2 linked regions of the Drosophila melanogaster genome follow. Changing the gene in region 1 together with any one later gene gives a genetic interaction. Each region holds a gene or a part of one and is shown on either strand. Other genes may lie near its edges. The genes, in order: RIOK2 and Erk7.

Evidence for each region.
Region 2: of RIOK2 (region 1) and Erk7, changing one suppresses a phenotype caused by changing the other (phenotypic suppression), as found in Drosophila melanogaster (one study listed by BioGRID).

The regions. Positions count from the first base shown.
Region 1 is NT_033777.3:25,264,258-25,277,783, reverse strand, and holds RIOK2 (RIO kinase 2), read right to left. Parts: upstream 11,941-13,526; 5' UTR 11,878-11,940; coding exon 11,670-11,877; intron 11,614-11,669; coding exon 11,235-11,613; intron 11,183-11,234; coding exon 10,991-11,182; intron 10,972-10,990; exon of another isoform or gene 10,936-10,971; coding exon 10,098-10,935; 3' UTR 10,027-10,097; downstream 1-10,026. Other genes in the region: CG10513 (uncharacterized protein), read left to right, coding at 590-1,658, 1,724-1,923; CG11878 (uncharacterized protein), read right to left, coding at 2,618-2,814, 2,871-3,936; CG11889 (uncharacterized protein), read right to left, coding at 6,242-6,438, 6,497-7,553; GlnRS (Glutaminyl-tRNA synthetase), read left to right, coding at 12,110-13,526.
Region 2 is NC_004354.4:9,256,294-9,273,539, reverse strand, and holds Erk7 (extracellularly regulated kinase 7), read left to right. Parts: upstream 1-5,841; 5' UTR 5,842-6,360; intron 6,361-6,428; 5' UTR 6,429-6,621; intron 6,622-8,074; 5' UTR 8,075-8,271; coding exon 8,272-8,358; intron 8,359-8,456; coding exon 8,457-8,647; intron 8,648-8,710; coding exon 8,711-8,917; intron 8,918-8,997; coding exon 8,998-9,138; intron 9,139-9,211; coding exon 9,212-9,308; intron 9,309-9,377; coding exon 9,378-9,829; intron 9,830-9,964; coding exon of another isoform or gene 9,965-10,145; exon of another isoform or gene 10,146-10,257; intron 10,258-10,527; coding exon 10,528-12,103; 3' UTR 12,104-12,164; downstream 12,165-17,246. Other genes in the region: aladin, read right to left, coding at 1-26; Cfp1 (CXXC finger protein 1), read left to right, coding at 651-874, 937-1,624, 1,686-2,765; CG17440 (uncharacterized protein), read left to right, coding at 3,746-3,769, 3,830-3,963, 4,026-4,569, 4,636-5,034; ric8a, read right to left, coding at 15,457-17,097, 17,163-17,243. UniProt on the Drosophila melanogaster protein: Atypical MAPK protein that regulates protein secretion in a kinase activity-dependent manner. In response to starvation regulates protein secretion by mediating transitional endoplasmic reticulum site disassembly.

The sequences.
Region 1 (13,526 bases):
ATCTTGGCACTTGAAAACTTGTTTAACTATTTTCCTTCTGGGCTATTCTGTTTCGAAAATCCTTGTGAAATTCAAAGTTTCCGACTGATTATTATAAATACGTAGAACGTTAAATACTAGGAAATAAAAAACGAAACCATTGTAAGTCTGTAAATAGCTTAACTATCCGGCTCAACTATGCAAATGGATGGACGGCAGATGGATTTATGGGCTGTGAAGTAGATTAGTTTGACGCGAGCACGAGAGCGATCTTTAGACGCCACGTCAGCACCATTCGGCATGAATTACGGCGGGCACACTTACATCATATATAGGAACGTGCACCGATTTGCGAGATGTGGGGGTGTTATCTCACCCTGTCAAGTGTCGCGCTCCGAGATCTGCTTCTATCTAGTCAGCTTTAGATACTCACGAATCTCTGTCGTATGAATCGAAATCCACGGGCAGCAGCTACGTAATTGTCTGAGCCAGCTTGCTTTACGGCTACCATAATGTGGGATCTGTTGTCGGCGAGATTGCGTCTTCCGGCTGCCTATAAATGGGGCCTTCGACTGGACCAAGTGATCCAGAACACAAGTCGAGCATCATCATGGTGGAGCAGGGCAAGGAAGACGCTACCGAATTTCATCCGGCGCCAGAGTGGCTAGATGAAACCTACTTGGAGCGACTGCTCCGGGATTTGAAGAATGATCCGGGACTGAGGATCACCGATTTGGTGATCAAGCCCGCCACTGCCAAGGGTGACAATTATGCTAGTGTGATGACACGCGTGCGGATTTTGTTCTTGAAAAGTGGCGCCAAAAGCCCCGAGACTGAATACTATATTGTGAAGACCACCTATGAGAACGATGCCTTCGCCTCTGGAATATTTTCCCAGTACCAGGTTAGCACCACGGAAATGCGTATGTACGAGAAGATCCTGCCCCAATTGAGCTCGCTCATCGAGAAGACTCGCCAGCCGGAAAAGGTTTTCGCCAAGACATTGCATGTGGACTACGAGCACGAGGCCATCATCTTTGAGGACCTTGCGGTGACGAAATATGTCCTGGCCGATCGTCTGGTTGGTTTCGATCTGGAGCACACCCGCTTGGGACTCCGAAAGCTGGCCAAGATGCATGCGGCCGCTGCTGTTCTGAACGAACGTCAACCCGGATTGCTGACCAAGTTCGATCACGGCATCTTCAATCGCCACACCCAGGCCTTTGCACCCTTCTTTGTGAATACGGTGGGCGTGGCGGCTGACTTTGCCAGGGAGTGTCCCGAATTGGGTGAGCGGTATGCTACCAAATTGAAGAAGCTGCAGGAACGTGTAATGGAGTACTCCACAAGAGTTTACGATCCCCAACCGGGAGATTTTAATACATTGGTGCACGGTGACTACTGGGTGAACAATGTGATGTTGCGCTACGGCGAAAATAAGGAGCCACTGGACATGACTCTCATCGACTTCCAATTCTGCAGTTGGTCCTCGCCGGCGGTGGATCTGCACTACTTCTTCAACACTTCGGTGCAGGTCGATATTCGCTACGAACAGCAGGATGCCCTGTTTCAGTATTATCACACGGTGCTCGTGGAAACGCTTAAGGATCTCAACTTTGGTGGCTACATTCCCACATTGAGGCAGTTCGTCCTGCAGCTCGAAAGGGGCAGATTCTTTGGTGAGTCCCATCTGGAATGATTTTCAAAAACCCATTATAATTGTTTATATTATTGTATCTAACAGCTGTCACAGTCGCTCTGGTCTGCCAGGCCATATTGACCAATGACCAAAACGCCGATGCCGACTTTAATGCTTTGATGAAGGATGACGAACGAGGCCGTAACTTCCGGAAGGTATTGTACACCAACAAGAGGTTGCAGGACAATCTCAAACGCGAGCTGCCACGCTTCGATCGGAGTGGTCTACTAGACGTAATTGACTGAATGGAAGCCATCATATACTACGAGTATTTGATAAAAAATAAAAACAAATTTTATTTTGAAGTTAAAACCATATGAAAAGCAGTTCATTTTTATTGCAAGTTGGTAAGCAATAAGATTAGAAATAGAACACACAATGGTTCTATTGTAAATGTTTGTATTCATAAAACTATATTAAATGTGACGTTTTAAAGCAAACGATAAGCGGGCCAACGGTGCGTATGAGTTATAAGGGGGACGCAACAATTCACTTACAAGTTTTTTCCTCAGTAGTACACCTTGACTTGTTAAATACATTCGTATTCGTATTTATTTGTTGTAGGTAAATATTAGTTTCTTTTATTAGCTAAAACATCTGCGGCTTATCTTTTGGCGTATCGCGATTGTTTCTATTTCACCACGATTCAAGGGCTTGTAATTGTTATCTTCTGAGATTTTTAGTATTGCTTGCACCTTTTGTTTGTCAAGAGTTTAGCACTATCTTGCCGAAATAAACTCGAAAGCGCTATTATCAGTCATGAACACTGTATTTCATATAAAAAGGTCAGTTATTGCCGAATTACACACATAAAGTGCAATCAAGCTATTAGATAAGTATTTTCCCAGGAAATTAAAAGCAACGACGTAGTTGAGCCAATACGTAGTAGTACTTAAACTTTTATTTATTTTAACTATTTACACAAGTTCAAGATTATCATTACATGTCATCCAGCAATCCAAACTGATCCAGAAAAGGCAGTGTGACACTTAATTTCTTTTTTATATTTTCCGATTCATAAACTGAGTTCTTGAATCGCATTCCACTCTCGGAACTGGATAGGACCTGCTCAATAGAAGCATCCTCTTTGCCCTCGTACTGCATGACAGGCTCAAAAATCAAGGAACAGAATACGGCTGCGGATAAATTATTTAAAAAACTATTTTGAAAGAGAGTTAAGAACTGTACCCACCATAGAATCCTCTCGAGCGGAACTGCAGTTGGAAGTCGAACAAGCTGGGTATCCGACCAGCATATTTTAACTTCCTTAGGGCCTCCGTCAGCCTATAGTAATAAAACTGAACCAATTCTGTTTGATGTTCCAAGCGAAGATTATCCTGCAACGAGGTGGAGAAGAAGTAGTGGAGATCGATGGCCGGCGAGTTCCACACGCTGAACTGGAAGTCAATGAAGATGGCATTCGTGGGATGCTCTTTTGCATCGTACTGGAACATAAAGTTGGTGGTCCAAAGATCTCCATGGGCCAGAGTTAAAAAGTCGCCAGGACTACTAGTCGTCGATCTTTCGCCATAGTCCATCAAACGTTCCACAAGCCTGTCGATCTTGGCCTTGTACCGCTGTCCCAACTCCTCATCCGAAGCAAGGGAGCGGGACAGAGCCTCCAGAAGATTGGTCATGATCGGGGCGTATGCCCGGGTGTGTTTGTTGAAAAAGCCACGATCATAGTTCTTGTCGAAGATACCCGGCTGTCGCTCGGCGAGAACTGATGAAGCTGCATGAAAGAGGGCCAGTTTCTCCAGTACCAGGTGGGTGTGTTCTAGGTCCAGCTTCTTTCGACGGCATGCAACCTTGTAATGATCCAGTGACATGTCCTCGAAGATGATCGAGTCCCTTTCGCGGTCCACATTCATGGTGGCCGCAAAGAGCTTCCTGGAGTCTTTAAGCTCCTTCCTCACCATATCCGCCAGCTGGGGAAGGATGTGCTCGTATATATCCATTTCACGGGTGTAGACACCATAGTGGATGAGCACATCGCCGGCTGGATCCCGGTCAGCGAATGTGGTCTTAACCAGAAATGTGGTGGACTGTTTCCCTTTCGATACCTTGGTCGTGTACTCCACATTGATGCGGGTCATCACGCTGCCGTAGTTTCCTCCATTGGCCACGGCTGGCTTTGTATCCAACGTCGCCAGCTTCAGTGAGCTATCCTTGAAGTAGGTGCGCAACTTATCCTGCACATATTCCGAGGTGAGCCAAACTGGCGCTGGGTGAACTTTGTGGGTAGATTTCTCAGTCATGATCCTATCCGTAACTCAGGGCTTTCGCTTCTGCGACATTGCGAACGGAGTCCGACCACTTTTATAGCCAACTTTAGTGTATATATGATAAGTTTAGTGCAAGTATCTCGTGGCAACTGGCTTCGTCATGGACAAACAACACTTGAACAATTTCGAGTCTGGTCGAACGCTCACGTTTTTTGCAATGCACTTTTTATTAAGTATTCCTGGTAACCAAAATTTCGCAACTTATCACCATATACAGATTCATCGCAACAAATTTATAATTAATTCATTTTGTTTTACATTTCCCAAAGAAGAGAAATACAACTTAATATTTTTTATTGTTTGTTATCGAATATCGTAAAAAGTAAGTGAATTAATTTAGTGGGTTGCCTTGATAGTTTTTCCAAGAATTCCCCCGTATCGTCGTCTGTAGCTAATTTTAATGTCAATATCAACAAAAACAATTAGAAAACTTTTTAATACGGATTTTGTCCCGTTTTCATGTTTTCTAAACATTTACCTACAATTAGCACCTGTGAATTGTCATTCATAAGTGCATACACAATTAATAAAAGTTAGTAATAGCAGGGAAAGTAATCGAAATTATTTTGTATTTATTATATTTTATAAGCAAATATAAAATCTATAATTACGATAATAATATTACTATTTTCGCTTTACATCACGTCTAGTAAACCCAAATGATCAAGAAAGGGCAAAGTGAGACGCATCTTTTTCCTGGTCTCCTCCGCCTGAAATGCGTCATCCTTAAAGCGCATTCCCTTCTCCGAAAGGGATATTATCTGATCCATTGATGCCTCTTCCTTGCCCGTGTACGTCATCGTTGGTTCAAAGATCAGTGATGCGAAGGCAGCTGAATGATAACATAAATGAATATAAATTCCTTAACCAGGCACGTTAGTATACCCACCATAGAAGGATCTGTTCCTGAACTGCTGATGGAAGACGAATAGGCTCGGAACATTTCCGGAATACTGGACTTTCTTCAAGGCAGCATTCAGTTTGTAATAGTAGAACTGGACCAGCTCTGGCTGTTTCTTCAGTCGAATATCAGCCTGCAAGGCCGTTGAAAAGAAGTAGTGTAGATCGATGGCCGGCGAGTTCCAAGCACTGAACTGAAAGTCGATAAAGATGGCATTTATGGGATGTCCTTTGTCGTCGTATTGGAACATAATATTGGTGGTCCAGAGATCCCCGTGAGCCAGGGTCAAAAAGTCACCGGGAACAATGGTCGTCGATCGTTCTCCGTACTCCATTACGTTCTCCACCAGTCGATCGATCTTTGCCTGGTAACGCTGACACAGATCCGGCTCCAGCTCCAGGGATCGGGACAAAGCCATCAAAAGATTCTTCATGATGGGCTCGTAGCCGCGGGTATGCTGGTTAAAGAATCCACGATCGAAATTCTTCGCAAAGATTCCAGGCTGGCGCTCAGCCAAGGCTGCTCCGGCAGCATGGAAATTGGCCAGCTTCTCGAGTACCAGATGAGTGTGCTCCAGATCCAGTTTCTTGAGCCGATCGGCCACTCTGTAATTCTCCAGGGACATATCCTCGAAGATGATCGAGTCCCGTTTCCGATCAACATAAACAGTGCCTGCAAATAGTTTCCGGGAATCTGCCAGCTCATTTCGCACCACTTCCGCCATCTGGGGCAGGATGCGCTCATACAGATCCAATTCCCTGTTGTACACTCCGTAGCTCAGGAGAACCTGCGCCGCCGGACCTGCGTCGGCAAATCTGGTGGAATCTGGTGGATTGTTTATCCTTTGATTTATCCGTCGTATACTCCACATAGATGCGAGTTATCACGCTTGAGTAGTTCTCCCCGTTGCCAAGGGCCAGCTTGATGTCCAGGTTCACCAGGCGGAGGGAGTCATTTCTAAAGTAGGAACGCAGCTTCTGCTCCACATAGTCGCGAGTGAGCCAAGCGGGCACCACTTGTGCGCTTCTATTGATTTCCTGGTGATCAACACTGCGGATTTTTCATCGGTGGGGTTCCGCTTTTATACCTCGTCGGTTAGGTAAGTACACATTTATTATTCAAGTCTTATCTATCATTCTATCTGACATTCCTGTTATCTTTCAATTCAACCATTTGAATTAGCTATTAGAAATCGTCATTGAGCTTATTACATACATATCCATTTGATGCCAGCGAACTACTAGAAATTTCTAAACAATTAATTGCTAAAAATAACGAAACTATTTTTAAGCTAAATTTCTAGGTAGATAGCAGTGATAATTTGATTAATTGACTTATACTGATAAGGAGCATTTATTTATTGTGTGGAGCATTTTCTTACATTTCGTCTAGTAAGCCCAGTTGATCAAGGAACGGCAGAGTCAGGTGCAACTTTTTTAGGTTCTCCTCCGTCTGATACACTGCATCCCTCAGTCGCACGCCCTTCTCATCGCTGGTCATGAACTGCTCTATGGACGGCTCCTCCTTGCCATTGTAGACCATAGTGGGCTCAAAAATCAACGACGCAAACACAGCTGAGTAAAATAAAGAAATTAAAAATTGTATAACATTTTATATACTTCGCAAACTTACCATAAAAACCTTTGGTCCGAAACTGCTGTTGGAACTCAAATAAACTCGGAACCTTACCCGAATATTTCACCCTTTCTAGAGCCACCACTAGTTTATAGAAGTAGAACTGGACCAGCTCGGTCTGACGCTCCAGACGAAGGTTTTCGTGGATCGAGGTTGAGAAAAAGTATTGCAGATCGATGGCCGGAGAATTCCAAACGCTGAACTGGAAATCAATGAAGATGGCATTAACTGGATGACCTTCGTCATCGTACTGGAACATGACATTGGTTGTCCAAATATCTCCATGGGCCAGAGTCACAAAATCGCCGGGAGCGACAGATGTCGATCTTTCGCCGTAGTCCATTACATTATCAATTAACCTGTCAATCTTCGCCTGGTATCGCTCCTTTAGATCCGGACTCAAATCGAGGGTACGCGACAAGGCCTTAAGGATATTTTTCATGATGGGCTCGTAGCCTCGTACATGTTTGTTAAAGAATCCACGGTCGTAGTTCTTTTCAAAGATTCCCGGTTGCCGCTGAGCCAGAGCTGCCCCCGCTGCATGGAAATCTGCCAGTTTCTCAAGAACCAGATAAGTGTGCTCCAGATCCAGTTTCTTCACCCTGCACGCAACCTTATACCTCTCCAGCGAAAGGTCCTCGAACATAATCGAGTCCCGCTCACGATCTACACCCACAGTAGCTGCAAACAGCTTCCGAGAATCGTGGAGCTCATTCTTCACTATATCCGCCAATCGGGGCAGTATCTGCTCGTACATGTCGATCTCCCTGGTGTAAATGCCGTAGTTGATGAGCAAATGGGCCGCCGGGTCTTTGTCGGCGAAGGTCGTCTTCAGCAGAAAGGTTGCGGACTGGTTATCCTTTGAATCCTTCGTAATGTACTCCACACTGATGCGGGTCATCACGCTGGCGTAGTTCTCTCCATTCGCTGTCGCCGGCTTGATCGTCAGTTTCTTCAGATTCAAGGTGTCATTCTTAAAGTAGACTCTTAACTTTTTCTCCACGTACTCCTCTGTCAGCCACGCGGGCGCATTGTGGGTCGTTTTCTCCGGCATAATGTTGAAATTCTACTAGCTTTCGTCAGAGGTGGGCATGGCTTTTATACACTGACGAGATGCTCATGATTAGATGAGACGGCACAGAGCGTATCTCATGAGTCGTAAGCTCCTTAATTGCCGGCAATTGAAAAGATAGGCGACAGCACATCTGAAAAAATTTATTAGGATAGGGCTCTGCACTGTGTGAAAGATCATAGAATAGCGACTGTTGTTCAGCTAGGCTAACTAGCTAGACCAACTTATAAGTAAAAAAAATAAAACTTCACATATCGTCTAACAACCCCTGCTGATCCAGAAACGGCAGAGTGAGTAGCATTTTTTCTCGGATGTGGTCAGCATGATACACAGAATCTCTGAACCGGACTCCACTGGCGGCAGTGGACAATCCTTGTGCAATAGACGCTTCCTCAGTTCCGGTGTAAAGCATGCAGGGCTCGGAAATCAGTGAGCAGAAAACAGCTAAAAGAATTTCTTAAATTAAAATTTATTTTCACTATAACTTGCATATACTTACCATAGAAAGATCTAGCCCTAAACTGCAGTTGAAATTCAAATAAGCTCGGAATACGACGCGAATACTGTAGTTTCTTCAGAGATTCCACCAGCCTGTAGTAATAAAACTGGACCAATTCAGGCTGATGTTTCCAGCGAAGATGGTCCTGGATCGAAGTGGAGAAGAAGTAGTGCAAATCGATGGCCGGAGAGTTCCACACACTGAACTGAAAATCAATTAGGACGGCATTGATGGGATGACCCTGTTCGTCGTACTGAAACATCACATTTGTTGTCTAAAGATCCCCGTGGGCTAGGGTTAGGAAATCTCCTGGATTGGTCAATGTCGATCGATCGCCGTAATCCATTATTGTATCCACTAGCCGGTCTATCTTGCTCTGATAACGATCGTTTAAATACAAATTCAGCTCCAGGGAGCGAGATAGAGCCTGTAGTAGGTTCCTAAAGATTGGCTGAAAGCCTCGAAAATGTTTGTTAAAGAATCCTCGATCGTAGTTCTTCTCAAAGATTCCAGGCTTTCGCTCGGCAAGAACTGCTGCAGCTGCATGGAAATCAGCCAGTTTCTCCAGGACCAGATGTGTGTGCTCCAAATCCAGTTTTTTAAGCCGGCAAGCGACTTTGTAGTCCTCCAACGACAGGTCCTCAAAAAGGATTGAGTCCCGCTCGCGATCTACATTGACGGTAGCTGCAAACATCTTTCGGGAATCCTCGAGCTCGCCCCTCACCATTCTGGCCAGGTTGGTTGTTGTTGGTACATGTCCATTTCTCTGATGGAAACCCCGTAGCCGGCCAGTATATTGGCTGCCGGATCCTTGGCGGCAAAGGTGGTTTTCAGTAGGAAAGTAGCGCTCTGAGTGTCCTTTGAATCCTTTGTGCTGTACTCCAGATTGATGCGGGTCATCACACTGGCGTAATTATCTCCTTTTGATGTAGCCGGCTCAGTCTCTAGTTTCTTCAACTGTAGAGAGTCGTCTTCAAAATATCTGCATAACTTATACTCCACATATTCCTTTGTGAGCCATTCAGGATCGGTATGGGTATTTTTTTCTGACATTATGGATCCGAACGTTAGCGCTATAGTTTAAGCAGTGAAGACAGTTTGCGATATTTCCCAAAGTCTTATCATCTTAATTACGACTAACTACGCTAATCCCTCTGGTTAGGGGCCCCCAATAAAATCGTAAAGTACATTTTATTCAGAGTGTTAGCATTCTTCTTACTTATGTAACGTAATCGTTTGTACAAATTTACATGTCATCCAGCAATCCCCACTGATCAAGATACGGAAGTGTTTGCTGAAGCTTTAGCCTGACGGACTCCTGCTGGAACACATCGTCTTTGAATCTCATACCACCTTTGCTCTCCGAAATGATGTGGTCCAGGGAAACCTTTTCTTTTCCATCATACACCATAAAGGGTTCAAAAATTAGAGAAGCGAACACAGCTGTAAATCAGAGTAGATTTGTATCAGATCTTAAATATATATACTTCTCTTTTTTTAGTGCATCCCTCAGTTTGTAGAAGTAGAACTGGACCAGCTCTGGTTGATTGTTTAGGCGGAGCTTGTCATGGATGGAAGTGGAGAAGAAGTGAAGTGAAGATCGAGGGCTGGTGAGTTCCACACGCTAAACTGGAAATCGATGAAGGCAGCATTAATGGGATGTCCCTTTGCACAGATCTCCGTGATTGAGAATCACAAAATCGCCATATAGCCTGAAGCTCATCTCGCTCCGACTAAGTTAAATACCCTAGATAGAAAATTAATAACATAAAGTATGTTATAGTCAATTTTAATATATTTTCCGTTTCTCAATTACTTTTATATATTTTCATAACCATAACCCATTATTATAAAAGCTATCATCTTATTAAATCATTTTGGCGACTCATGAAAATGCCTTTATTATTATTTATTATTATTATTTATTTATTACCTAGAGTAGTTAAAACACAATTTGCGATGTCTTGATGAAATGTTTTAATTTTAAATATACATATCACTATTTTTATTTAATAGATTAACATGATCTAGAAGTCCCAGCCAGCATACTCCTTAACCACATCCTTGTTCTCCTTGCGATGACGATGCACAGCACTAGCCTCTCCCTTGGCCACACACTTCTTTCGCTGCTCCCGCTTCTCCTTAATGTCCATGTTGCGTCGTATCCGGTCGGTAATCACAGACGGAGCTATTGTGCTGGTTGTGGTAGAATAGGAGCGTTGACTTCTCGCATCATTTAGCATTTGCTCGACCATTTTGAGACGATACATGCGGGAGTTAGGATCCAGGCCAACTAGCTCGGGAACTTCATCCGTATCTAAATCATTGGAACTGATGGACTTGACGTCTTCTTCAACGGTATTAGTTGCCGAAGTTTCAGCTTCGAATGGAATAACGTCTGGAGTTTCAGCCGGCAGGGAAATGTCCAACTTTTTGGGCATTGTTTGATCGGGAACTTCTGGACCTACGCTGAGATTACCCAGATATTGCGTACACGATTCAATGTACCGACGCACTGCGTCATCCGACTTCTGAGTGGGCTTGGCTTCGCTATAAATGACTTCGTTCTCCACCTGGCGTCGGCACTCGTCAATCTCTACAGATGCTGCGGTAACCAAGGTGGGAGGCTCTTCCTCCTCTTCCAAATCCTCTCCCTCATCCTCCTCATCTGCCTGATCCACCATGCCGTACTCCTCAAGAAGATCCTGCTCCATCTCCTTAGTGAAGCCATAGCCTGTGCAATGTACCTCGGCATCCAAATCATCCTCACGCACCAGGTCGCTGAACTTGGGGTAGTCTTCGCTTTCGTAACCAAATTTGCGACGGAACATTTCACGCACGCAGTTAACATCGCGTTCGAAGAAACTAAAATATATTTTTCTATTAATACTTGAATACTATAATCACAAAGAAAGCTTACAATTCTGCATTTTCATGCGAGGTGGACATCATCTGAGGGAAATCAATCAGTATGGGCTTGCCGGCGTCTGTCACCATTAAATTAAACTCATTAAAATCGCCATGAATAACTCCAGAATTTCCCAGACGCACAATAAGGTTCATAAGATCATCGTAAACTTGTGGAGCGTCTAGAAGTTCGTGAACTTGGGTCCTATAAAAATGATATTCAAAAATACGAATAATGATAAAAGTGACTAGCTTACATGGGCCAGCCCTTGACGAGGTCCATTAAGACGCAGTGGCGGTTGAAATCGATGGGTTTTGGCACTGGAAACCCACGATCATAGAGTGCCGACATGTAGGCAAACTCGCGGGTAGCCGAGATGCGAGATAAGTACAACCAGGAGGCCTTGTGTCGGCGACCGTGGTAGTCTCTTTTGGCTTTTACATTCCTGAAACAAGTTCGACCCAATCGGTGTAGTTTGAGGCAAATTGGAGTGCCCTCCTCATCAGCCACCACGTAGATGTTGGACTCCTTGCCAATTCCAATCTGGTTGCCAAAGGAACTGACCGATCCCCGCAGTGTGAGAGACTTCAGAGCCAGATAGTCGTAGCCCGTGTTTGTCAAGCGGTAGCCATCATCTGTGAGCCAATAATTGTTAATGACCATAAAAACTTCAATCTGCAGCCATACATACATTTCTTTCCCCGTTCGTAGGCCAATAGCTTGTGCTTGCACAGCTCCTTGAGCAGCTTGTGGACTCCACCCGACTTCAGATTCGCAATGGCAGCAGCCAGGGGACCAGGGACCAGCTCGTGGTTCTTCATGCCCATCTCGATGGCGGTGAGGACGCGGAAGTCCTCTTTGGTGAGATATCGCAGCACTGTCACGTTTAATTTACCCATTTTCGTTCTATTTTGACAGTTTAACAACGCATTTAGCAATGTTTTCGTTTCACACGTGCAGGCACGATAGGTGGTGAGAAATCGGTATGCATCGATTGTAGCAAGAGTATCGCTTATAATTATATCATTTTCCAACTACCGAACATTGTAATGCAACTGGTGTTTTACATCCCGGTCCGGAACGGTCACACTGACCTGCACATCGTCATCAGGAAGAGACAAAATCGGGGAAATGGCTGGAGATGATCTGATTGCGAAATTCCAGGCGCTCGGCATGAGCGAGCAAAAGGCGAAGGAAACTTTGAAGAATGCCAACGTGACAAAGAATCTCCAGCTGTCGCTGGCGGCGGCGGGAAGCGCCACCCTATCCGACGGCACTGGTATGCTGATCTACCACATGGCTACCAAGCTGAAGCCGCAGACTGCGGACCATCTGCCTCTTCTGGTGCGCTACATAGTGGAGCACAAGCTGGACAACACTCAGCGCGTTGATGCCGCCCTGGAGTACCTGCTCAAGTGCGGTCAGAGCCTGAATGCCAACATAGATCTGCAGGCGCTTGAGAAGGAGTGCGGCGTTGGAGTGGTGGTCACTCCGGAGCAGATCGAGCGCACTGTGCAGGCCAAGATCAAGGCCAGCTACAAGGAGGCCTTGTTGGAGCAACGCTACCATTTTAACTCTTTTAAAATCCTGCAAGATGTCCGGGGAGAACTCAAGTGGGCGGATGCCAAGTCCGTGAAGGCGGCCATCGATGTGGAGATCTTCGATCTGTTGGGTCCCAAAACAGAAGCAGACTTGAAACCTCAGACAAAAGCAAACGATAAGCCGAAGGCTGCAAAACCGAAAGCTGAAGTAACTCCTGCCGCTCAAACGGCTGAAGCTGCATCCGATGGAGCCACCACCATTTCGGAACTCATGAAAACCAAGGTACACTTCCATGCTCCCGGAGAGAACTTCAAGGCAGATGGCTACGTGGTCACCGAGCACACGGAGCGGCTACTAAAGGAGCACCTGGCGAGAACTGGAGGCAAAGTGCACACACGATTTCCGCCAGAGCCGAATGGCATCCTGCACATCGGTCACGCAAAGGCTATTAACATTAACTTTGGATACGCGGCTGCCCACGATGGAGTCTGTTACTTGCGCTACGACGACACCAATCCCGAGAAGGAGGAGGAGAAGTTCTTTTTGGCCATCAAGGAGATGGTGGAATGGCTGGGCTACAAACCATTCAAGATCACCTACTCCTCGGACAACTTCCAGCAGCTGTACGAGTGGGCTGTTGTGCTGATTAACAAAGGATTGGCCTACGTGTGTCACCAGAAGGCGGAGGAACTGAAAGGCTTCAATCCGAAGCCCAGCCCTTGGAGGGAGCGTCCCATTGAGGAGTCACTTCGGCTGTTTGAAGACATGAAGCGTGGAAAGATCGACGAGGGAGCGGCCACACTGCGCATGAAGGTCACCCTGGAGGAGGGCAAGATGGACCCGGTGGCGTATCGCATTAAGTTTATCTCACACCACCGTACGGGCTCTGACTGGTGCATTTACCCCACGTATGATTATACTCATTGCCTTTGTGACTCTCTCGAGGATATAACCCACTCACTGTGCACCAAGGAGTTCCAGTCGAGACGATCCTCCTACTACTGGC
Region 2 (17,246 bases), on another chromosome or scaffold:
TGTTTTAGGTTGCTCAGGGCCGCCATAATTGCAGACTATTCACATTCAATTCAGTTCAGTTGAGAAAAAATGGTAACGAAATACAAAGAAAAAACCGCGCGGTTATTAGAGGTGAGAAAAAGCCGACAATGTCAGTGGTAATTCGATGCTTAATTTTTCTATCGATGTTTAATTTTACGAAACTTCGAAAATACTGGGCCGCGGCAAAATCTTAAAGATTATCGAAAAATAAAAATTAGGTATATATAAAGTAACAATCTTTTGTAGGTTTTATATTCACGTTGTTTCTCTTTCAAGAACTCTATTTAATCTCATAGATCTCGAACACACTATCGTTTGTTATTAAGACTATGGAATTAGTTCTCTCGATATAAGTGTTACGAAGCATTTTATATTTATACACAGCTTACAATAAATACCTAAAATTGTTTTTATTGTATAGTCATACATCAATTAAAATCTACAACGTAGTTTTATGCTAAATATTATATATTTTATTAGGCCAGAACCTATCGATTGTCTGCAATACATTATTAGTAGGCTATCGATATCCTTTCATTCACCATCTCCATCGCAAAAAAAAATTCCATGAAACTTAATTGACGGATTTGGATTTGGACTGGATTTGTTGTCGGAAAGATTGCTGCGAGATGACGGACAAGCGCAAATATAAGAAGACCGTAAGTTTCACCCGCTGCACGGCAATCATATTTTTAACTACAAAGGAGGTTTCCAAACAGAAAGAGGAAATCAGGCGGGAGATCGCACGGGAATTTGATTTGCCTGAGCGCAAGTCCAAGATAGCCACCATTCTAAAGCAGGAAGACCAAGCGTACTGCATATGCCGCTCCTCCGACTGCTCCAGGTTCATGATGTGAGTTGAATGGCCTTAAAGGGCTAGATCCCGGCTAACTACTTGTACCCTTCGCTTTCCAGAGGCTGCGATGGTTGCGAGGAGTGGTACCACGGCGACTGTATAGGGATCACCGAGAAGGAGGCTAAACACATCAAACAGTACTACTGCCGGCGCTGCAAAAAGGAGAATCCCGAACTACAAACCATATTCCGCCTGGTGGCCACCGAACGGGCAGCCGCATCGAACGCCGCCTCTACAAGTCTCAATGCCCCGGGCGTAGGTCCATCGGGAGCTGCGCCTGCTGCTGCACCGGTGGCGTCCGCAACAACCAGCCAGCAAGCGCCGCCACCGACCACTGCGGCAGCGAAGCGCAAAAACAGCAGCGCCCGAGAACCAAAGATGGGCAAACGTTGTGGTACCTGTGAGGGATGCCGGCGTCCCAATTGCAACCAGTGCGACGCGTGCCGCGTTCGCGTGGGCCACAAGCCGCGCTGCATATTCCGCACCTGCGTTGTCCAGGCGGCGACGGTCTTAAAGGAGTCGCAGGCAACTCAAGCCGGCCCAAGTAGGAAGCGGGAAAAGGCGGCACCCAAGAGTCGCAATGTCCAAGTGGGCCCGCGGGCGGCCAGTCCGGAGATATTCCTCAATCCGGAGCTACAAGGCATCCGGCAGTGCTACGGACCCAATTGCTGCTCCCATGCGAGACCGCAGAGCAAGTACTGCAGCGATAAGTGTGGCTTCAATCTGGCCACAAAACGCATCTTCCAGGTTAGTTTCATTTTTTGGCCAGACTATGACAATTAAACACCAAAGTCCTTTACACTCTCAGGTTCTGCCGCAACGACTGCAAGAGTGGAATCTAACGCCCAGCCGCGCCGCCGAGGAAACACGCAAGCATCTTGATAACATTCGTCATAAGCAGTCCCTGGTGCGTTTCGCACTTGCCGAGCTAGAGAAGCGCTCCGAAGAGCTCAACATGGTGGTGGAGCGAGCCAAACGAAGCTCCATTGATACATTGGGGTCACAAGACACCGCCGACATGGAGGACGAACAGAGCATGTACTGCATCACCTGTGGCCACGAGATTCACTCGCGCACTGCCATCAAGCATATGGAGAAGTGCTTCAACAAATACGAATCGCAGGCCAGCTTCGGGAGCATATTCAAAACGCGAATGGAGGGAAACAATATGTTTTGTGATTTCTACAATCCGGCAAGTAAGACTTACTGTAAGCGATTGAGAGTATTGTGTCCGGAGCACAGCAAGGATCCGAAGGTGAACGATACGGATGTGTGTGGTTCGCCCTTAGTGAACAACGTCTTCAATCCCACGGGCGAGTTTTGTCGTGCGCCAAAGAAGAATTGCTTCAAGCACTACGCCTGGGAGAAGATCCGGCGTGCTGAGATAGATCTGGAGCGTGTGCGTCAATGGCTCAAGATGGACGACCTGATGGAGCAGGAGCGCGTGATGCGGCAGCAGCTCACCTCGCGAGCGAACCTGCTCGGCCTGATGCTGCACTCCACCTACAACCACGAGGTGATGGACGAGCTGGTGCGCAAACAGCAGGAGCATCTGGTAGAGTTCGAGAAGCAGAGGCGACGCCTGGCTCACCAGCAACAAATACAAACACAGCAGAAACAGTACCAGGAAAAGCAGAAGCTAATGTTGCAGCAACAACAGCAACAGCAACAACAGCAGCAGCAACAACAACAGCAGCAACAACAGCAGCAGCTGCAACAACCACAGCAGCAGCAACAACAGCAGCAGCAACAACAGCAGGAGCAACAGCAACTGCAATTGAAGCCACATCATCTGCAGCAACTTCAACTTCAACTGTTGCAGCAGCAGCAAAAGAAGGCCCAAATACCACAGAAAACTCAAATTATATACCTGCAGAAAAAAACATAGATTTGTAGTCCCCTAATCATAGCAAGAACTAACAATAAACTGACGTCCAAGAAATATTTTTCTACGACAGTAATCTTTGGACTTACCCGACGCAAAGTTTCTAGTGTCGCCTTTCTCCTGGCAACCGCATAACACGCTCGCCAGCTGTTGGGTCCGCTTCCCGGCCAGTAGTAGGTTGCTACGCGCCGGGATCGGCGGTACGCCCATGTTTGTTATTGAAAACTAAGCATCAAATATGCATTTATTGATAGCAACATGCTATTAATACATTAGGCCAGCTCAACCGTGGATATCATTCACATGGATTACATTAGCACACACCTTAATATTAGTTTATTAGCTGGATTCAAGTTATTTATAATTTCTATATACGATTTGTTTTCTGTTCATTGTTAGTTTGTATTTAGAAATAATCTAGAAAATAAGTTAGCATATTAAATACATTTTCTTAAGCTGTAGGCTTTTTTTAATAATGCAGGTTAATATTACTGCATTAAACAAAGTCATGAAAAAAAGAATACTCTACGCTCAACATATTTTGAAGATCATATAGACATAGGCCACCGAGTCCGGGTTTTGATATCCGAAACAATGGTTCCGGGTAAATGAAGAGCGGGGGGCAACCATTGGAAACGGCAGGACCTTGAAAACGATGGAGGCTATGGATTAGAGTGGGCATGCTGTAGTTGGGAGCCAAAAGGAATGTCAGGACGCACAAGTGCAGTGGAAATTTCAAGCGAGTCTGAACGAATCCGGCTACCCGGGCAATCAAGTAGTCGTGGCGATTTGTGACTGTTCCCCCAGACGAACTGTCAAAAATGCCAGTCGTTGTCCGGAACTTTTCTACATCACACACGACCTGCTGATTCAAAGCCAGGAATACAGTTCATTTACAATCTCCATCGCAAAAAGAAAAATTCCCTGAAACTTAATTGACGGATTTGGAATTGGACTTTAGTTGTCAGAAAGATTGGTGCGAGATGACGGACAATGATAAGAAGACCGTGAGTTTCACACGCTGCACAGCAATCATATTTTTAGCTACAAAGGAGATTTCCAAACAGGAAGAAGAAATCAGGCGGGAGATCGCACGGGAATTTGATTTGCCTGAGCGCAAGTCCAAGATAGCCACCATTCTTAAGCAGAAAGACCGTGAGTACTGCATATGCCGCTCCTCCGACTGCTCCAGGTTCATGATGTGAGTTGAATGGCCTTAAAGGGCTAGATCCCGCCTAACCACTTGTCAACTACGCTTTCCAGAGGCTGCGATGGTTGCGAGGAGTGGTACCACGGCGACTGTATAGAGATCACCGAGAAGGACGCTGAGCACATCAAAAATTACTACTGCCGGCGCTGCAAAAAAGAGAATCCCGAACTGCAGACTATATTCCGCCTGGTGGCCACCGAACGTGCAGCCGCATCGAACGCCGCCTCTACAAGTCTCAATGCCCCGGGCGTAGGTCCATCGGGAGCTGCGCCTGCTGCTGCACCGGTGGCGCCCGCAACAACCAGCCAGCAAGCGCCGCCACCGACCACTGCGGCAGCGAAGCGCAAAAACAGCAGCGCCCAAGAACCAAAGGAGTCGCAGCCGACTCAAGCAGGTACGAAGCGGGATAAGGCGGCACCCAAGACTTCCAATGTCCAGGTGAGCCCGCGGGCGGTCAGTCCGGAGATATTCCTCAATCCGGAGCTACAGGGCATCCAGCAGTGCCACGGACCCAATTGCTGCTCCCATGCGAGGCCGCAGAGCAAGTACTGCAGCGATGAGTGTGGCTCTAATCTAGCCATCGAACGCCTATTTCAGGTTAGTTTCATTTTTTGGCCAGACTATAAGACTCCAATTAAACACCAAAGTCCTTTACACTCTCAGATTCTGCCGCAACAAATGCAAGAGTGGAATATTACGCCTAGCCGCGCCGCCGAGGAAACACGCAAGCATCTAGAGCTCAACATGGACGAGCTGGTGCTCAAACAGCAGGAGCAACTGGAGGAGTTCGAGAAGCAGAGGCAACAGATACAGACTCAGCAGAAACAGTACCAAGAGAAGCAAAAGCTAATGTTGCAGCAACAACCGCAGCAGCAGCAACAACAGCAGGAGTTACAACAACAGCAGGAGTTGCAACAACAGCAGGAGCAGGAGCAACAACAGTTGCTGCAGCAACTGCACTTGAAGCCACATCATGTTCAGCAACTGCAACTGCAAATGCAGCTGTTGCAGCAGCAGCGACAGCTGTTGCAGCAACAACAGCATAAACCGGAAAATCCATAGATTTGTAATCCCCTAATCATAGCAAGAAATAACAATAAACTGATGTCCAAGAAATATTTTTCTACGACAATCCAGTAATCTTTGGACTTACCCGACGCAAAGTTTCTAGTGGCGCCTTTCTCCTGGCAACCGCATAACACGCTCGCCAGCTGTTGTGTCCGCTTCCCGGCCAGAAGTAGGTTGCTACGCGCCGGGATCGGCGGTACGCCCATGTTTGTTATTGAAAACTAAGCATCAAATATGCATTTATTGATAGCAACCTGCACGTAAAGGGGTTGGATACATTGGGTTAGCTCTACCGTGGATATCATTCACATGGATTACATCAGCACACACCTTAGTTTTATTAGGTTATTAGCTTGATTCAAGTTATTTATAATTTCTATATACGATTTGTTTTCTGTTCATTGTTAGGTTTCATTGTTGGCTTTTTTTTTAACTAAAGGTAAAGATAAAGTAATACATTCAGATAGGTTAATATTAATGCATTAAACAAAGTCATGAAAAAAGGAATACTCTACGCTCAACATATTTTGAAGATCATATAGGAATAGGCCACCGAGTCCGGGTGTAAATATCCAAAACAATGGTTCCGGGTAAATGAAGAGCGGGGGGCAACCATTGGAAACGGCAGGACTTTGAAAACGATGGAAAACTATGGAGTAGAGTGGGCATGCTGTAGTTGGGTGCAAGACACCAAAAGGGATGTCAGGACACACAGGTCACACAAGTGAAGTCGAAATTTCAAGCGAGTCTGAACGAATCCGGCTACCCGGGCAATCAAGTAGTCGAGGCGATTTGTGACTGTTGCCCCAGACGAACTGTCGACAATGCCAGTTGTTGTCCGGAACTTTTCTACATCACACACGACCTTCTGATTCCAAGCCAGGAACGTACACTCGTTTTTTCTATTCGATTCCGAATCTTTTATTTTGTAAAATCGTAACGGAAGCGTGAACGCCGGAGTGCCGGGAGATACCAGGCCAACATCCGCCGCCATATGGACTCGTCCTCCTCCGATACGCATCTACATTCGTTGATCTAATATATGCTTGTAATTCCATTTCCAAAACTGTGCAAATTGAAACGCGCGTGGTCTGCGAGTGAAACATACAAATTGTCAAGTCGAGGCCGCTGATCCTAAGCTAAATCGGCTAGATTTAATCCACAAGGGCCGAAAAAATTCAAGAAGTACTTCATGAGTTGGCAGTGGGAAGCCCTCAACGGACGAAGTAATATAGATATTGTGTTCGGTGGAGCACAACACCGGAACGGTATCAAGTAAAGATTTTTTTTCTTGTTCAAGGTCCTGGACTGTACCTACAGGTTGGTGTATCCAAACGATATATATACATATATATATATCTATATAATTAATATGAAACATCCTACAGTTCCGGTTGCATCTTTTGATTCGCGTTGCGTTCGTTACTATATCGTTCTTTTTTTTCTATTTTTATTGTGCAAATTGCCAGTTTACTTTCAAGGCACACATACTCACATAACCATCCGTCAAGTTGCCGGGCCTCTTCGTCTCCTAGTTAGCCACCATTCTACATATCCTGCGAATCCTGCCTCCTTTTACTGGTAAGTGACGTGCTCCACTTGAAAACTTTTGTGCCAAATTCAATCGCTCCGATTTGGCTGTTGCTTTTGATGCTACACTGCTACACTGGCAGACATAAAGTAGATTTTAACCTTACACCTTTCACTGTCTATTTGATTTATTAATATATTATAAATTTACTAGATCAAATTATGTGCGCTTGCGCCCACTTATGCGCCAGGGTTGCATTTCAAACGGAGTCCATTCCCTACTTTCCAGCACAAAACTGGAATTCCTTGGAATAACGGCTTAATTCGAGATCAGATTCTTGCGAATTTCAATTTCGAACTCGATTTTTGTTGAACTGTGCTGGCCTTTGCCATATGAGTGTACTTGTGCCTATTTATTTGTTAAACAAATTCATTTGCCATGCTTTGTTGCTGATTTTCGTTCAGCGAGATTGCATGCCACGTATTTCCATTTGATTGTTTTGCGGCGTTTCTTGCAGCAACAATAGCTGAAGTAGGCGCAATAAAAGTATTACAGTAGGCATCCCAAAGAGTAGATGTTCGGGAAGATTTAGTGTTAAGGTTTTTAATAATAGTAATAACTACTTTATAGTTAATAATCTGTACCTATTGAAGAATATTACGTATATACATACATACATATTTAGTACCCCATCTTAAAGAACACTTATAAATCGCGTTATAAATGAGAGTTGAAGCATCCAAGAGCTTTACGCATTGTTCTCTGCAGCGAGTGCTCACTGTGCAGCCGAGCATTGTTACATGACGTTGCCGTGGGCACTTGAGGGTCCACTGTAGGCATTGCCAGGCCATCCAATTGGGGGTCTCGTTTTCGCTTTCGCCTTCTGCCCGCGATCGATCTAACAATAATTCGGTTTCAATCAGGTCCGCCTCGCGATTTATTTATTCGCTTGCTATTTTTTCCCGCTTTTTATTTGTGCTCCCGTTATGGCCGTTGTTCCGTTTCCGGTGCACTTGCATGCAGAGAGAGAAAAAGCCATTATCCCTTTTATTCCAATCCAATGATCGAAATATCTTTGTTAGTATAGGAGTATATACAGACATACATATGTATATACTTTGGCTAATGATGAGCTTTAATCAAAAAGTAATACAGAAATGTTTCAAATATTTTGAATATCTTAAAGACTGGATCTCTTGAATAATTAAAATGTACTATGCTGTGTGAATTTAATTCATTAACTTTATCTCATACATTTCGATTTTATTCTTTCACTGTGCACTTTTGCACTGCTTTTTGTTGGCGTTTCATTTTATTTGACATACTTGATGCCGTTTGCATATGGGAGCAAGCACGCGAGGACGAGGGCCCCTGATGCTCCAGTTGGAGCCGCAAAACCACTCGGGCGCCACTGCCACTGCCACATCCACGCGCAACAGCAACAGCGCCACAGTGAATGCCAGCTAACTGATAAATTTCGCACTCCACTCTGATCGTCCATAGCGAAGCTGCCACGTGGGGCTGGAGTTCTCGGGGCTCTGCCAGAGTCGCAACCGGGCCAACTAGAAACCAACTGCCGGATAAGTCCCAGCATCCCAATAAGCAAAAGAGGTCACAAGGTTAAGGGGCACGGATAGGGATAGGAATAGGGATAGGGATAAGGATAAGCAAAGGGCACAGGTGAAAAGGAGCAAGCTACGATGGCCAACTATCAAACTGCCCACGCTCAAGAGCGACGCATTCAAGAGCTGGACCAAACTGTGGAAAGCATTTTCGATGTGCGAAAGGTAAGTCAAAAAGTTCGTTCGGAGAACGGAAAATTATACTAAATTGAAGTCAAGTGATCATAGGTCGAAACGATTAATAACTTCTTTGTCTTTCGCAGCGCATGGGTAAGGGTGCCTATGGCATCGTCTGGAAGGCCACTGACAGGCGTACAAAGAACACGGTGGCCCTGAAGAAGGTCTTTGATGCCTTCCGCGACGAAACCGATGCCCAGCGCACCTACCGTGAAGTTATATTCCTGCGGGCCTTTCGCTGCCATCCCAACATCGTTCGGCTGGTGGATATCTTTAAGTAAGTTCTTTCGATATTTTTTTGTTTTCTAAAATGCGTGTATATAATGTGCATTCTCTTCAGGGCCTCCAACAACTTGGACTTTTATTTGGTGTTCGAGTTCATGGAGAGCGATCTGCACAATGTGATCAAGCGGGGCAATGTCCTCAAGGACGTTCACAAGCGATTCGTTATGTATCAGCTGATCAATGCGATTAAGTTTATTCACTCGGGCAACGTCATCCATAGGGACCTGAAACCCAGCAACATCCTGATCGACAGCAAATGCAGGTAATATTCCACTGACAATTCAGTAATTCAGTAACATCAGTGGACTCCATTTCCATCTATGGACATTGCCCTATTTGCAGGCTCAAAGTGGCTGATTTTGGGCTGGCCAGAACCCTCTCCTCGAGACGCATCTATGATGATTTGGAACAGGACGGCATGCTGACTGATTATGTTGCCACGCGTTGGTATCGCGCCCCCGAAATTCTGGTGGCCAGTCGCAAGTGGGTGCTTTGTTTAGCTTGCATGAACTTACTGAGACACTAGCATATCCCTTTGCCTTTTACCTTTTACCAGCTACACCAAGGGAATCGATATGTGGGGCCTGGGCTGCATCCTGGGCGAGATGATCAGGCAGAAGCCCCTATTCCAAGGCACTAGCACTGTCAATCAGGTAGCAGAGTATCTATATACCATTTCATAGTTATAGGTTTAAATTTACATACATATATATTTGCTTCAGATTGAGAAGATTGTGACTTCCCTGCCGAATGTGACAAAGCTGGACATCGCTTCGATTGGACCCAGCTTCGGCAGCGTCCTGCTGAGCAGGAATATCCAACGCGATCGCCGCTATTCGCTGGACGAAATGATGAAGAACTGCTGCGACGACGGTATTTCGCTGGTGAAGGCCCTGCTGGTGCTGAATCCGCATAACCGGCTGACAGCCAAGGAGGCCATAAGGCATCCTTATGTGAGTCGCTTCCAGTACGCGTCGGCGGAGATGGATCTTCACATGGACGTCGTGCCGCCGCTGAAAGATCATGTGCGCTACGACGTGGACCAGTATCGCAACAGTCTGTATGAACTGATTGACCGGGAGACGAGTTGCAGTAACCGCACGGTCAGCAATTCCACGCCATCCAGCAATCGGGACGAGTTGCCAAAACCCGTGCGAGTCACGAAGCAAGCCAGGTGAGCTGCTCTCGGGGATCTTTGGGGGCTTGGGCTGGGACGGTTGTTGGGGGGAAGCGGTAGAGGGCTGGTTTAGTCGTTTGTGGGGCGATGGCTAGTGGAGGAGCTATTCTAGCTGCTCGTCCCCTCTTTCAGATTGCATCGAGCCATCACCAAAGTCACCAGCACATCCAATCACCTACAGCAGGAGACATTCAAGGAGCGGAAGGAATCCGTGGAATCCATAACAGTTCAGCGCCCAGTGAAGGAGCGACTGCATCGTTCCATGCACCGAAAGGCACATCGCATGCGCCTCAAAAAGGGCCATAGTCAATAGAATACTAAGCTTAATAGTTATCATCCTCTAAAAATTCTTCATGTCCAAGGACCTCTTTCTTTGTGAACCACATTTATGTGCATCTCAGTCAGTTTTCATCATTTCAAACCACAAATTTTATTTTATCACAATAGTTTAAATTGAAAATACAATAAACTAGCAGTAAATATGTCTTAAGAAACATATAATATTAATATTATTGTTATTAGGTTAACAACATATTCCTGTCTGTGTGGTATGAGGATGTGAATATTCAATATTCTAAGTGTGTCTTTAGTTAAGTGTAATATTAGTAACATGAGAGCAGCCCCACTTAACCCAGCCCAACCACACATATTTTGGCGAATCACCAGTGTTCAACTCATCCAATTCCCTCCCGCAGGACAACAAGTGCCAAGCAACCGACCACGAGCCCGGCGGAAAGGAAGAAGGAGCCATCTTCCGTCGAGGTGACCCAGTCGCGCAAGAACATTAAGCTGCTGGGCTCTGCACATAAGGCACAGTCGAAGGAGATCAACCACATGGAGTCTGCAATTACGCAAGTCTCTATTGCTTCTGCTCCTCCTGCTGCAGCTCCTCCTGCTCCTGCTGCTACTGCTCCTGCTGTACCGCGGAAATCTGGTGATAAATCTGTCCCCAAATGCCAACACAACAATGCGGCGGTCCAACGGGAATTGGCTGCCGTGGCGGCCGCGGCAGCCGTGGCTCGCCGGAAGAAAAGCAGCTGGCAATCGCAGGCACAGTCTCAAGGTAAATTCCATACCGAAGCGAAGGCCCATGTTCAAACTGCGATTCAGACCCAGAAGGACAACATCAAAGATAGCCCTCCGAGGATGATACAAGAGTCCCAGAGCCTGACGGAAGCTAAAGCGCCTATTCCAAAGAATCGCTACTCAAACAAGATGTGCCAAGAGAAGAAATATAAAAAGAAACACCATAGCATGTCCTGCATCACAAGGGATACGTTTCCCTCAGAAACGGAGCATCGCCAGCAGAGGGAGGAAAGGGCGTACCAGCGACAGATGAAACGGGAGCTCCAGCTGAAGGAGAGCTACCGCCGCCGCATTGAGGCGGAGAGCGAACCCTTGAAGGAGACAACTGAACAGGAGTCCAAGACGATCAAGGTGATAGAACAAAAGGTGTGTGAGCATACTGAAAAGAAGGCGGATGAATCGTTGTCCAAGGATCAGCAGAAGGATTCGATCACCTTTGGCACATGCGTCCGCGAACGGATCCATCACCTGGAGCTAGAGATGGAGAAGTGCACGGAGGAGTTGGTGGACTTTGTCGAGTTGAATGCGGATGTGCTTAACTATGCGAACGTTAGCACCCACTTGAAAAAGCTGCAGCGGTCAAAGGAGAGTGATGAGAAGGATGAGGATGACAGAAGAGCCCTGCCGGAGGGCATTGGTGGTCCCGGATCCCAAAACTACGAGATCTTTCGCCAGGAGCAAGAAAAGGAGCGCCAGCGCCAGGTGCAAGAGTTCTTGGCCCGCGACGAGACCAATGAGTACGATAATCTCGACCTGGACCACGCCTACAGAGCTAAGTACTATACAGCATATAAGGAAATAGGGAAAGAACTCAACCCCGCACCGGACAGTGGGGGACGCGATTCCGGATCGGAGCATTCCCCGGGGCGGGACAACTACACCACGTATGCCGACTACTTTCTCAAATACACCACCCCACAGCAGAATTGGAATGATCTTGAGCGAGCGAATGGACTCCAGCGGGAGCACGACCGCATATACGGGTTGTTTTGGCTGAATGATCGCAGGCAGGAGGAAAAATATCGCCGCAAGTTGGCACAGAATGACCAAGAAGAACTCCCAGTTCACCACCACAAGGCGTGCCGCCATCGCCACCACAAACCCAACCACCATGCTCCCTACGATCACATGAGGCCCACGGAGGACGACATTCAGGAGGCGGACTCCTTGCCGGAGAGCAACTGATATGTCCTAGAATATTTGTCCCAATCTTGACACAATATACATACATATATTTTGAAACGCGAATGCAATGAGTGAAGATTCTTTTTGTCGTAGATCTTTTCTATCTATTTTATATTGTAACTTCTATTGGGTTTATAAAGACGGAACGTTTTTTCGTACAAAAACCCGCAGTGATCCATATTTTTGTGCCAGATTGCCTTGAGTATAAGGAACCGGCACTGATGATTGCGCAGCTCCTGACCAACCTCAGGTCGTTGACTAACGTCCCGCAGCGGCGGCAGAATCTCCTGGCGTAGATAGTGACGCATAACTCGATCGCTGCGCGCACATTTCACCAGCACGGTCAGCACTGGGGAAAGCAACTCATGCGAGCTAGCCTCGGCCTCCTGTTGGGCCAGAGATTGCCTTAGGTAGCGGAGTAGCACGTCCAGACTCCGAACATTGCGCTTTTCGAAGCACTGCGAGCAGCACTCACGGGGTTTGGCTCCCGCTCCAGCTTCTGTATCTTTTTCCTTCTCGTTGTCCAGCTCTCTTTCCTTGTGCGACTCCAACTCGGCATTGGAGCAACGCAGGGTGAGTTCTGTCAGGCAGCTGCCGGAGATGTTTGTCAGCAGATTGATGGCGTGTGTGACGACGGCGCGATCCTTTTCTGTGGCCAAGTCGCCGAAACGCAGGAGCAGCTCGCAGATGATGTTCAGCTGCTCCTCGCTAACGGAGTCTTCGCCCAGCTTGTCGTCCAGCTACTTGGTCATGTAGGTGAGGCCATTTAGATCGATTTGGAGGCGGTATCTCAGTCAGTATTCTTCATTTCGAACCACAAATTTCATTTAATCACAATAGTTTTAAAAATTCCTGTCTGTGTGGTATGAGAATGTGAATATTCAAAATTCTAAGTGTGCCTTTAGTTAAGTGTAATATTAGTTCCATGACAGCAGACCCACTAAACCCAGCCCAACCATACATATTAACATAATTCACATAACTGCCTGCCGAATCACAAATTTTCAACTCATCCAAATCCCACCACATTGCAATGAGTGCCAAACAATCGACCACGAGCCCGGCGGAATGGAAGAAGGAGCCATCTTCCGTCGAGGTGACCCAGTCGCGCAAGAACATTAAGCTGCTGGGCTCTGCACATAAGGCACAGTCGAAGGAGATCAACCACATGGAGTCTGCAGTTAAGAAAGCCTCTATTGCTTCTGCTCCTCCAGCTGCAGCTCCTCCTGCTGCTGCTGCTACTGCTCCTGCTGCACAGCGAAAATCTGTGCACATATGCCAACACAAAAATGCGGCGATCCAACGGGAATTGGCTGCCGTGGCGGCCGCGGCAGCCGCGGCTCGCCAGAAGAAAAGCAAAGTGCAATCGCAGGCACAGTCTCAACGTAAATTCCATACCGAAGCGAAGGCCCATGTTCAAACTGCGATTCAGACCCAGAAGGACAACATCAAAGATAGCCCTTCAAGGATGATACAATGGGACTCTTGTATGATTCCAAAGAATCGCTACTCAAACAAGACGTGCCAAGAGAAGAAACCCAAAGAGAGACACCATAGCATGTTCTACTTCACAAGGGATAGGTTTCCCTCAGAAGCGGAGCATCGCCAGCAGATGGAGATTTTGCAGAGGGAGGAAAGGCGGCAGATTAACCGGGAGCTCAAGCTAAAGGAGAACCAGTGCCGCCGCATTGAGGCGGAGAGCGAACCCTTGAAGATAGAAGAAAAGGTGTGTGGGCATACTGAAAAGAAGGCGGATGAATCGTTGTCGAAGGATCAGCAGAATGACTCGATAAAGCTGATCGGATCGGAGCCGGTGCATTCCCCGGGGCGGGACAACGACAGCAAGTATGCCGACTACTTTCTCAAATACACCCCCCCGAAGCAGAAGGAAAAAGATCTGGAGCGAGCGAATGAACTCCAGCGGCACGACCGCATATACGAGCTGTTTTGGTTGGATGAGCGCAGGGAGGAGGAAAAGTATCGCCGAAAATTGGAACAGAATGACCAAGAAGAAATCCCAAATGACTGCCACAAGGCGTGCCGCCATCGCCACCACAAACCCAGCTACATTGCTCGCTTCGATCACATGAGGCCCATGGAGGGCGACATTCAAGAGGCGGACTCCTCGCCGGAGAGGAGTCGATCCTTATAACTCTGATTCAATATTAATAATTAAAATTTAGTTTCAAAGCATTATGAATCGGAAAATATGTGGCTTGATTATTATAGCATGACCTTGATTGATTTATTTTATTGTTAAGCTTAGGATAGCCGTACATTTAGACTCGCACAAAAAATATTACTATGTTTTGATGTATATAAGTTGATCTACTAGTATCATCGCTATAGCAAATTGAACACAATAAAGCTCTAGATAGGATTTCTTGTATATAGATCAAAGACACGTAACTTTTAGAAAGTTTTGGAATTATTCCTTTACCCTATTATGCGGAATTTACAACATAGATTAGACATGGACATGAACAATGTGCGGATGGGATAGTTGGTTGCATGGCCGTGTCGACATCCACAACTTGATGGCTCTTCAAGTGCTCCTCACTGCCGTCTGTCATAGATAGACTTTGTAGTTCGTTTAGTTCGATTCTAGAGCTATAGTTAGTGTTACACACATGCAACATCATTTGTAATAGAAAACTGAGAATCGGAATAAGAGCTTTCATTCCTAGATCCTAAGTGTATAATTGGAATTTTATAAATATAATACATACATGCACTTAACTATTAAAATGAAAAGTCGTCCTAGTTGTCCTATAGTGTGGGCGTGTATTTAAATGAATTCAGATTTGATGTTCATCTGCTCCCTACTTCCTGAAATTGGAAGACCCCAACGATTGTTTTGCATTTAGTTATTTTTTTCAAGCCGTACGTTATGGGATGCCATGGTATCAACTTTAAAAGTGCGAACAATTCACGGGACAACAAAATAACAACGAAGTGCGTAATAACTTAATAAGTACAACGTTCTACATGGTTAATGGTTAAAGAAATTCTGTAAAAGTTGGGAGACCGAACTTATCTACGAATTGAAGCTAATTGGATAGATTATAATTATTTTAGCTAACACTAATAATAATGGCATTTAGACAAAAGCTGATCACTGAAATCAAAGCCAGATTGGATAATTTTTGGTTAACAAATTGTAGGTTATAATGAGATGTTCTCGAATATGTGGTATAAAATATATAAACTATGTAAAAAAAAAAATCTGCTTTTTGAACACATTCGAAGCTACATTCGACAGTAAACTTATGGAATAAATGCAGAGTTTAAGGTGATTTTTTGGTAGCTATTTGGAAGTTGTGCCATAGCAGATCCCGCAATACATTTGTGGCTTAGGTTTTCCGCTTCTGGTCGAGCTGCTGCTGCGGCAGCTCCTCCTGCAGCTGAAGGATGTGTTCCAGCGGCTGCGGGCGCCCGTCCTTGTCTATCATCGCCGGCTTTACGATCCCGCCCTGACGCAGCTGTTCGATGAGATTGACCAGCTGCATAGCCTCGTATTCCTTCTGCTCTTCGCTTATGTCGTCCAGATGCGACTTGCTGCGCGGCTCTACGCAGCCAAGGACTGGATTGATGCCCTGCTGCTGCTGCTTGTACTCCTCGGTGTCGCTGTCCTCGCTGTCGGAGGAGTAGTCGGTGCCCTCCACTCGCCGGCAGTCGAGTATACCCCGCTTGGCAAAGAGCCCGGCTGCGTTGCCATAGCCCGTATATTTGATCATCCTGCCGACATTTTCTTTGCACAGTACGAACAGCAGTTCGGCGGACAGATCTCGTAGGATCATCGCGGGCAGTGTAAGGAACCGACACAGATGATTGCGCAGCTCCTGACCAACCTCAGGTCGTTGACTAACGTCCCGCAGCGGCGGCAGAATCTCCTGGCGTAGATAGTGACGCATAACTCGATCGCTGCGCGCACATTTCACCAGCACGGTCAGCACTGGGGAAAGCAACTCATGCGAGCTAGCCTCGGCCTCCTGTTGGGCCAGAGATTGCCTTAGGTAGCGGAGTAGCACGTCCAGACTCCGAACATTGCGCTTTTCGAAGCACTGCGAGCAGCACTCACGGGGTTTGGCTCCCGCTCCAGCTTCTGTATCTTTTTCCTTCTCGTTGTCCTGCTCTCTTTCCTTGTGCGACTCCAACTCGGCATTGGAGCAACGCAGGGTGAGTTCTGTCAGGCAGCTGCCGGAGATGTTTGTCAGCAGATTGATGGCGTGTGTGACGACGGCGCGATCCTTTTCTGTGGCCAAGTCGCCGAAACGCAGGAGTAGCTCCCTCAGCACTCCCGTCAAATGCAAGCTCTGGATTTCGTATTCGTTGGGGCTCTTGTCCGGAGCACTGGTCACGTTGAACATCACCTTGAGCAGTTCGCAGATGATGTTCAGCTGCTCCTCGCCAACTGAGTCTTCGCCCAGCTTGTCGTCCAGCCACTTAGTCATGTAGGTGAGGCCATTCAGATCGATTTGGAGGCGAGAGCGCGCCGCTGGCTCTAATGCAGTGAGCAAGAAGAGGAGCTTCATGTCGTAGTACTCCAACGCACAGGGATGTCGCATCGAGGACGCCACCCTCTTCAGGATTGCATCCAGGCAGTGTTGCCGCAGGCACTGGCGCCTGCAGTCGGAGCTCTGGTAGACCAAGTTGCACAGACACTTAAGTGCTTCGGCAATCACCTCCGATTGGGCCTGGCTGGGCTCCAGCTGGGGCTCCTCGCGTTCCTCCTGTTTAAGCTCGTCCGGCGTGGCTGGCAGCTTTAGTGAGCCGGCCTCAATCCTAGCCAGCTTCAGCAGGGTGTTAACCTCCTGTTCGATGTAGTTCGTCTGCAGGCTGAACTCGTCACGCGTTAGAATCCTCACCGTGTTCAGGCACTGCGTATGCAGATGACTAAGCCGCTGGTCGTCCAATATGCCGAAGATGGCCAGCCACAGTTCGTGCCACAGGTTGTCTGTGCGGAAACTGTCGAAGACCAGCAGATCCGCATTCTACGGCAGAAGGAAGGGTATATAATCTGGTTGAATCTTCGGGAGAAACCGCTGGCAGTGCTCACCTTTGTGTTGAATTCGTCCAGGATGGCGGGAATGTGGTCCGCCTCCTTGGCCTCTAGTCGTTTCAGGTGCTCCGTTTCCATGTC